Drosophila melanogaster: one gene and its partner. The protein of the gene in region 2 interacts with the protein of the main gene of each other region in a pairwise test. Each region holds a gene or a part of one and is shown on either strand. Other genes may lie near its edges.

Region 1 (5,643 bases), on a different chromosome or scaffold from region 2:
CGGGTATTCTTGCCCAGATAACGACTTCGGCGCAGTTCAAACCCGTTCCCCGCTCTCTTTTCCAATTAACTAATTATGTTTCCGGGCAAACGGGTTTGGTTTGATTTGTTATTTGTTTTAGTTTGAAAAGGCGGTGCTCTTAACTGGGCAGCATCTTCGCTCAAGGTCACCGATGTTTGTTGTATAATATTTGAGCGGCTATTAATACTTTCAGTGCTCGGGCAATATATATAAATCTCGTGAAATTCATCTAAATGTTTGATTTCCCGTCAGCCTTTCTGCACTCCCATTGGAGCCACGAGTAAGGTCCTCCAGCTGCTGGCTATTCTGAGGACCAAGGATGCCAGTTCCGTCAGTAGAACCACATGGGCGCTCTCCGCCTTTACAAACATGAGTGAGATCACATCTTGCATTCCATCACTTGATGTCATCAATTAACACATCATATATGTATCCCTTACAGCTCGAATCTACACGGTGTTCTTCCAGTCCCACGATTGGATGTTGCTATCAAACTTCCTGATTTCGACGTTCCTTAGCGCCTCCGTTTTCACCGCCGCTTGCGTCTACAAGAAGAAGGCCAAGGCGGAGTAATTGGCCAGCCTGATTAGAAAAGCTCAACATAGACAAACACTGCGCTGGCTGGAAATGCTTATCAGTCATTGTTTTAATTCTATTTGCTTATCTGTTTAAATTGATATTACAAATTCTTGTTTGAATCGGTTGTTGTTACTCGTTTAACTGTCCGCGTAGAAAGCCACCACAATTGCACCCACAACTGTTAGAATGGATACTGCATAGATTGCTCTACGTTGCCAATCGATCTTGGTCTTGGCCGGTCCAGAACCCACAGTTTTGCGCTCCTTGTGCTTGCGTTTGCCGAACTTGGCCTCGAACTTCTCGAGTTCCAGGCGGTTTCTTTCTTCCTCGTCGCGACGCTTTTGTTCCAGCTGCAGTTGCTCTGCCGCCTGGACGCGAATTTGCTCCGCCTTGCAGTTCGAGTCGCAATCCAAGAATGTCTGACCAGCACGGTGTTTGTCACAGGCAATCTCCTGCTTGAGTCGCTTGCAGGCGCAGAAAATGCGAACCTTCTTGCGGCACAACTCGGGATTTGGGCACTTGCCTGTGTGGCAGATGGCTGTGCAGCGATGTCCGCAAGGATACTGAAAAAATATATATATCACTGTAAGGCTTGATCGACAATGGTATATTACAGCACTTACATTCTTCAAGCATCGATTACCGCAGCTCCGTAGCTTTTCTCTTCGCTCGATGATCTCCTGGACCGATCCCGTTTCATCATAATACTCGTTGCACTTGTAAACCAACTGGTTGAGTCCACAGTGACACTTGGTCTTAATCACAAAGTTGCAGGGCGCACAGGGCGGTGGATGACATCCTTTGGGACAGGCGTGAATACATCCGGTTGGTCGGGGAACGGTGCAACCCTCCTCGCAGTTGGCACAGCCAGTTTGCGCAGACATATCCTGGGGAAGCGGTACGAAATGGCAAACCAATGAACACTTGTGATTGCCGCACTTAAGCTGACGTGCACACGATCGCTGACAGGAAGTGGGTTTGGAGTTCCAGCATGGCCAAGTGGCAACCTCATGACCTCCGATACAGGTGACAATGACGCCTTCCTCGCACCGTGGATGTGGTAATGCCTTATACTCATACTGTAAAACAAATTGTAGAGTTTTAATGTTGAGATAGGTGAGTTTTGTGATTATAGTTACCTTTTTGGCCTGTGGCCTAGCCTCTTTGGGTTTATTAACTCTAACTGCCTCGTGGCATCGTGCCTTACAGATGTGCCCACACTTGCTGGTGTCATTGGGTAGACCGCACACTTGGCCACATGGAGGACAGTCACCCTTGTGACAACGATGCTTAATGGCATGGTGACATTTGGGAGTTATGCTGCAAGAAGTGAGATTAAAAGTCGGTCATTATATATTGCGAAAGAAATACGAACCGACAGAGTTCCAAGCAGACAATGCGTGCACTTCTTTCCCTGCCACAAGGAACACTTTTTTTGGTCTTTCCACAGCGGCAGTTAATCTGGGATTCCAGTTTACACGGATAGCAAGGTCCGTTGTGGCACACGGACTGACATTTGTGCTTGTTGCAGCTCAGCTGCTTGCCACAAATCTTTTCGCACGGTGGACACTGGTCCCCACAGCACTTTAAAAAAGGTTATTGGTTAATTCGGCTGTATACATTTAAAATGCTTGCGTGCTCTTATACCTTTCTATTGCATGCATGCTTGCCGCAATCACGCATTTGCTTGCATTTAGTCTCGCATGCAAACTCTTTGGAGCAGGGCAACTCCTTTTCGTGCAGACCACAACGACACTTCTTTTTGGTTCTTATTGGGCACTGTAAGAAACATATTTCATTAGAGAATCGATTTGCTTCCCTGGTGGCTATCTTACGGAAATGCAAGGTCCACGATGACAACGCTGGGTGCAAGTGTGCTGGCCACAGGACAAAAGTTTTTGGCACGTATCGCCACAGGTTTCCTCTGTCTCATTACAGGGTCTTACCTGGGTCTACAGAATTAGGTAATCATAAATGAATATAAACTTGTAAATAAATATATCACATACATTCTTGCCGCATGGGCAACTCCTGACTTGCAAAGGACACTCTCCATCTCCGCAGGGTCCAGCGTGACACACCTTCTCGCAAATGTGCAAACCACAAGCAAATGGAGCTCCACAAACCTGAAAGAATATTAATGTTGTTTTATGCTTCAGCTTCAAAAGGCTTTTCTTACATTCTGACACTTCCATTTCCGATCGGAGCAGTTGACCATCTTCGACTCCCGCTGGCACTCGCAAGGTTGTAAGCTTTTGCTGGTGCATGGAGGACACTTTCCTGGCTGATGACACACCTGATTACATTTGTGCTTGCCGCAGGCTAGAAGTTCCTTGCACTGGAAAATCATTTTTTTAGTATGGTGGTCAGACAAAATTTCTTAAAACGTTAAGACTTACAGTCTGCTGACACGTCCACTGCTTGTCAATGCACCTCACGGACCTAGGACTAGATTTACCACACAGGCACGAGACCTGCGCCTGCTGCGCACAAGGAGGACATGGCCCCGGATGACATAGCAGCTTGCAATCGTGCCCACACTTCGGTTGCAAAAGCTTTCCGCAGTGCTCTCCGCATGAGTGGGGCACAAGGAAGGGCTGGTTCTCGGGGTTCACCTCCTTGCCGCAGAAGCAGTTGTACTGCGTGGGCTTATCGGCCGGTTGGTAGTCCCTGCGGCACTTGGGGCAGCACCAGTGAAGGGATTTCTGTCGCTTGGGCGGCACAAATTCGCCCAGATGATTGTAGTGGCCCTGGCCGTTCTGCTGCTCTGCCGCCTTTACCTTCATCTGCATCATGCTGTCGTTGGCCCACCGTTGGATGCACTTCAAGTGAAAGAAGCAGTAACAGCTCTCGCAAGACCAAATGGCCTCCACCCGCCGAATGCTTCCGATGCAAATGAGACAGGTTGCCGCTCCCGAGTGTAGAGTGTTTTCCAGAAACGTACTGGTGCGTGCCGCTTCCTTTGAGCTTCCTGCGTTGTCCGACGGTTTGTAGTTCTTGTATAGGAGTTCTGAAAAGATAAAGCACAAAATTTGATGGTTTTCAAATGACACGTCACAAGCATCGGTCGATTTACCCAAAATGTGATTCTCATCCAGTTCGCCTTCATCCTCGGAGCTGGAGGCGTAGGTGTCCACCAGTTTTTGGGCGGCAGCCAAATTTTTAGCTTGCGCTTTATTAAACTTTTCCATTTTTAAGCCGGCGTTTTTGTCTATCAACTGGGAATAAATTCCTGGGGTAGAACCAGGGATGGCTCGTTCTCTGATAACAGCAATTAGGGGATCTAGTTCCGAAAGGTACACATTTGTGTGAGCTTTCAGTTTCCAATTGGGAATTTCATTTAATTCAAAAAAAATACATACATACACATTAATACCTAAATTATCAAACATCCTCTCTGCATATTTTATTGCATTTAATAATTTGGACCAACATTTTGAAGTTTACAATTAATAGGTCAGGTATCTAATGTGGCAGCCCTGGTATTCGATGTTAAACATCTGTTCGTGAGTGCGACACCCTGGAACAGCTTTCACATCATTTGCAACAAAATAAAATAGAGAAAATTAAATATATCCAGACATACCGACTACGATCCGATCCAAGATGAGTTTCCTAAATTACGTGTTTGGCCCCAACCTCTACATGGAATACCGCGGTGTGCCGGAGCCGCAGCGCAAGATGTACGAGGCAGGTGCCGTGGAAAAGTTCGGGGAGCAGATTCTATCGACGGTAAGTGCCCTGCGATCCCATGGGGCAGAATCTGGAGCATATGGTAATGTGGAAAATCGACACTCTCCGTTGCAGCTATCGGTTATGTGGTCCGTGGGCTATTATACTTCTCCGCTGCTCGTCACATTCCTATACCGACGCGGCTACCTGGTGACCGATTCCATACCGACGCTGGCCAAGATCACCACCAGCGTGGGCCTCATCGTCATCCTATCGCTGGTGATGCGCGGCCTGGGGCGCAAGCAATCGCGCTCCTACTCCAACATGATTAAGGCCCTCGTCCGAGCAAAGTCCTCCAAGGCACCAGGAGATGCCAACAGCGAGCTGCGTCGCTTCGACATCGAGTTCAACGCTTGGCCGGTGGACTTTGATGTGAAAGCTCTAACCGGGTGAGTGGGCTACGCCTTTGAAGTGTGCCAGAATAACATCTTCGTTTTCAGTGATACCAAAAAGCCGGTGGTTACGGCTAGAAGGCGGGAGCCCATCCAGCTGGCGACACTGCCCTGTGAGGCCATCGCCTACCTGGCCATAAACACCTTTGGGCTCTCCATGATCTATCCGGGTTCGGTCAAACTACTCCAGAAACTTATGAGTAAGAAAGATATACATATGTGAAGCTGTCTGAAATGTTGTTAAATTGCAATCCGATAAGCCCATAAGATAGACTTCTACATATACTGAACCTAAAATATTTTGCAGGACCCATGCTGATCTCCGGACGCGCCAAGCTCATCGAGGATGACAACGGCATCCGCTACAAGGTTAAGACCATTGACTCGAACGAAATCGATACGTTGTTCATTGACAATCGCCCAAACAACGTGGGAAATGGCAAGACTCTAGTCATTTGCTCCGAGGGCAATGCCGGTTTTTATGAAGTGGGCATTATGGCCACCCCAGTGGCCTTAAAGTATTCCGTTTTGGGCTGGAATCATCCCGGATTTGCCGGCAGCACAGGCACTCCTCATCCCCACCAGGACAAGAACGCCATCGATGCCGTGGTGCAGTTTGCCATCAACAATCTTAGGTTCCCCGTAGAGGATATAATTTTGTATGGCTGGAGCATTGGTGGCTTTAGTACACTATACGCTGCCTCTGTGTATCCGGATGTCAAGGGAGTGGTACTAGACGCCACCTTCGACGATGTGCTCTACTTGGCCGTTCCTCGCATGCCAGCTGCACTGGCGGGCATTGTCAAGGTAGCCATTCGAAACTACTGTAATTTGAACAATGCCGAACTGGCCAACGAGTTCAATGGACCCATATCCTTTATTCGCCGCACTGAGGATGAGATCATTGCAGAGTGAGTGA
Region 2 (3,945 bases):
AGCCTGGAATGGAGCTGTGGACGTGGCCCTGACGCTTCTAAGCGCTGTGTTCGCCCTTCTCGCCGGTTATTTCCATGCTGGACGTCTGAACACCAGGAGCAGCCTGCTCTCGATGGCTCTGCTGTCGGTCCTGGAAGGAGGTTGTGTTTTGCTTTCCTGCTGGACCGATGATATATATCTGTCCTATCTTGGCTATGTGCTGTATGGAGGCCTGTTTGCCTTCACCATAACAGTGGCCAGGTAAGCAGTTCTTGATCCTTTTCCAACAGGTGAAATTTACCAAATCTCGTAATACCTTATAGCTCGGAGTTGGCCAGCAGCTTGGAGGAGGATAGCTTCGCTCTGGTGTTTGGTTTCAACACGTTCGTGGGACTCCTCCTGCAGTGCATCCTCACATTTGTCGTCGTCTCGGAAAAGGCCAATCTGAATTTGAATGTTTTTCAACAGTTTTCCGTCTACGCATTCTATTTTATAGTTATTGGAATAGTCTATTCTATTGCTGTTATATTGCAATATATATGGTCAATTTCGAAGAAACCAAAAGCAATTCAGGAGGCGAATTAACAACATACTCTAATGATGAAAAAGTGTTCATTTATCAAATAAAATTGTTATACATATTTAAAGTTTGTTTAATAAAATAATAATTGGCTTGTATTCTGAAACATTATTACTTTTAAGAAATATTTCCCAAGCTGTTGAAACATCGTTGATATTATATTGTTTTACACTTTATTAAAATGTATATGTTTTTTTATAGTTATAGTTTCAAAAAATGAAGATATTTAATCCTACGCCGCGAATCTAATCAGAGTGTACCATGTACATTATATGGCCACTACAAACTTAATAATATGTCAAATTAAACAAGATCATGAACGTCGTTATTTTCAATACAACATTCAAGAATCAGGGTGCGATTGGAATCCACAGCTTGGCTAGCAGAACTCGGTCTGATCCCCGCCGTTGCGGAGGACCGCTGAGACCCGCCACGTCATCGACTCGTAGAGCATCTCAATTTTGTCCACCATGTCCTGGTCGCTGTGCCAGACGTCGTACAAGACGGCTCGAAACTCGCTGACATTTTTGGGCGCCTGATTCTGAATCCTCGGCTGGATGATGGCCATCAATTGCTCGAGGAGATTGAGGTCATTGCAGACACTGCCCTCCGGTCCCATCAGCGAGTCAAGGAAGATCTCCTTTGGCGGCGTTGATTCGTCGACGAATTTAAGATCGTCCATGTTGAAGATGTTGCGCCAGTCGCGCACGGTCCAATCCTGATGGGCGGTGGCCCAGGCCAACCTCCTTTTTTTCGCCCCCTCACTGAGGCCGAAAGTGCTGGGCTCCTTCGGCTGTGGCGATCCTCTCGGTTGCCGTATGCCTTTGGAGCGAATCTCGCTGATCCTGCGCTGCAAGGTCCTGCGGCTGACCTCTATGCCGTGTCGGGCCAACTCCCGCTGCACATCGATGGAGGTGTAGTGCGGATTGTCGCTCAGCATTTGCTCGACAATTTGCCGGTTCTCCAGGACCTTGGGTCTGCCAACATCGCGCTTCTTTTCCTCCTCCTGCGCAACCGCCACGGGCGCCGCTGTTTTCAGTTTTTGCGGCAACCTCAGCGTGGCAGTCTTCCCCTCGAGCAGCTCACACTCACGAATGCAGCTTATCACGCTCTCCACGTCGCACTCCAGGATCTGGGCTATCTCCTCACAGCTGTTCGAGCCCTTCAGCGCCTTCACAATACTTCGAACTTCGGGAGCGAGAACCATTTCGAATCACTTCTGTACACCTCGAGTTTCACAATACCAATGATGGTAAATCGAATCCTCGATGGGCGTTTTATGCACCTGGCAGGTAAAAGTTTTTGCACCGATTTTGACGATAGTCTGGACCGTAGTTTTATGGCGAGCAAGCTGCAATTGGCGGGATTACGGCGTCATTACAGGTAAATTCAGTTGGCGTCCCTTTTTGTCTTTGGCGGCCATTCCGTTATTCGTCTGCGGCAAGACTGGCAACCCTTGTGTTAAGGGAGGATTTTCGGAATCTCATGATCAGCTGTTCGGGGAAATACCATTACTTTAACTGCAGCGTAGTTTGTTCAAACCTATTATTTCAGGATTATTTCATTCAAAACTATTTAACCCGATGATCAGTTCTGTGTTTTCCAAGTAAGGTTTAATAATATCGATAAATGATGAAAATAATAAGTTCTTAAAGAAATTCTAGTCTTTTTGTTAAAAAGTCATATTTTAATAAAAAGCTGCCTTTCCCGTGTATGATTTAAATAAAATATTACCAAGAGTACGATCTGAAATGCAAAAAACCTGTGTGGGAACCATTTAAGTTTACAACCAATTACCAAGCGCTTGCAATTGTTTTGAACATGCTATTTAATCGTTGATTTCCTTTGATGCTTTGTAGAATTACAAAAATAAATATAAAAACTTGTACATATGTAAGTGTTAGTTACCTCTACTGTAGGAAATGCAATACACCTTTTATCGAAATTTTAAAAATATATATATGCCAGATATTTAGTTTCTTGTCTTTTATGCTCTGTGTATGTTAGTTTCTTGTTTTACGTACACCGTTTTCTGGAGGGCGAGGGCAGTTTGTAAAACTATGCTCAACTTAACATATATACGCAAAGGGTGCACATTCATTTGGAATTGCAAATACCATAAAGATCAAATTTTGAGTTCGCTTAAGCTCGCTAGAGTGGCGCAGCCTTCGAGGCAGCTGATTGAACTGATAGATATTAAAGCACATAATCGGGGGGGAAGGCAACCGAATTAGCCACTTACACTAGGTGGCGATGGGACCGTAGCAGAGGGATCGGAATCGTATAATTAAATAAATAACGCTAGAGTACGCCTAATTGGTTTAGATCCATGTGCTAGGTTTTGATTTGTGTGTGTCCGTTTTTGTTACTCCATCGCTTTTGAGTGTATCTTGTGTGGGAGTGTGGAACGAAAGCTGGAGCTTGGGTAATCGAGAGTGTGGGATGGACTGCCCGTAGTTAGTCATCCAGATCTATATCGGAGTCATCCGAGTCGTAGCCTCCACGTATTGTCTTCTGTGGGCGGTTGATGAATGGTTTGCGTTTCACATCTGGTGGCTGCATCAGATCGCCCTTGTAGTCAATGGCCCCCGAGTGGGCGATGCGCCACTCCAGCATTTCGGTGGCGAAGTCGTCGCAGTTGCCCAGATCGGTGAATCCGACAATGAAGTCCTTGGTCTTGCTGTCCTTCACCAGGGCGATGGTGGGTATCACCTTGATGCGCAGTCGCTGGGTGAGGAATGGAGTCTTTTCGGCATTCACCTTGCAAAACTTGGCCTCCACGTGCTTGGCCGCGAGGATCTTCAGGTGCATGTCCACGATCTTGCAGCGCTCGGTGCTGTCGCGGTAAAAGTGGCAAACAATGTTGGGCGACTTTTTCGACATCTCGAAGAACTCTTTTTCGTCGGCCAGCTCGGTGTAGGTGCCATGACCCTGGAAAAGATTAGCAATTTTGGGGATTAATGAGATTGTTGCGCTAACAAGGTTTTCTTTGAAAGTTAATTTTTACATATATATTTAAGTTTTGAGCTATTTAAGCTGGTAGCCCAATTTGAAAACTAATTTGAATTAATCGAAGCAAGTGTCGCGAATGTCTTAAAAGTCGCATGTTGAATACCATTTGGTCATATACCACTTAGAGAACAATCTCGAAGTATCTTCAATAATTGAGTGTTGTAAGAGATGATCACCTACGTTTCTGAGCCACTCCTGCTTCTTGTTGTTCAGGTCCTTCATTTCGCGGAGCCGCTGCTCCCGCAGGACCTTTAGGTCATCCGAATCGAGGTTGTCCAGGCGGTCGAGCTGCTGGTCCAGCTGCTGCTCGATGGTCTTGGCGGCCGTGAACAGTTGGTTCTCCAGGATGTTGGCCATGTTGTCCTCTTCCAGTT

Evidence for each region.
Region 1: the proteins of CG4570 (region 2) and CG15011 interact in a two-hybrid assay, tested with the Drosophila melanogaster proteins (2 studies listed by BioGRID).

What each region holds. Positions count from the first base shown.
Region 1 is NT_037436.4:4,255,337-4,260,979, forward strand, and holds CG15011 (uncharacterized protein), read right to left. Parts: upstream 3,817-5,643; 5' UTR 3,792-3,816; coding exon 3,677-3,791; intron 3,611-3,676; coding exon 3,000-3,610; intron 2,939-2,999; coding exon 2,780-2,938; intron 2,727-2,779; coding exon 2,610-2,726; intron 2,553-2,609; coding exon 2,436-2,552; intron 2,380-2,435; coding exon 2,248-2,379; intron 2,185-2,247; coding exon 1,976-2,184; intron 1,921-1,975; coding exon 1,740-1,920; intron 1,680-1,739; coding exon 1,224-1,679; intron 1,164-1,223; coding exon 738-1,163; 3' UTR 655-737; downstream 1-654. Other genes in the region: CG1265 (uncharacterized protein), read left to right, coding at 274-394, 464-594; CG1309 (uncharacterized protein), read left to right, coding at 4,207-4,332, 4,408-4,721, 4,773-4,924, 5,032-5,635.
Region 2 is NT_033777.3:10,854,839-10,858,783, reverse strand, and holds CG4570 (uncharacterized protein), read right to left. Parts: upstream 1,978-3,945; 5' UTR 1,767-1,977; coding exon 939-1,766; 3' UTR 718-938; downstream 1-717. Other genes in the region: CG14694 (uncharacterized protein), read left to right, coding at 1-240, 303-564; CG4511 (uncharacterized protein), read right to left, coding at 3,017-3,490, 3,752-3,928.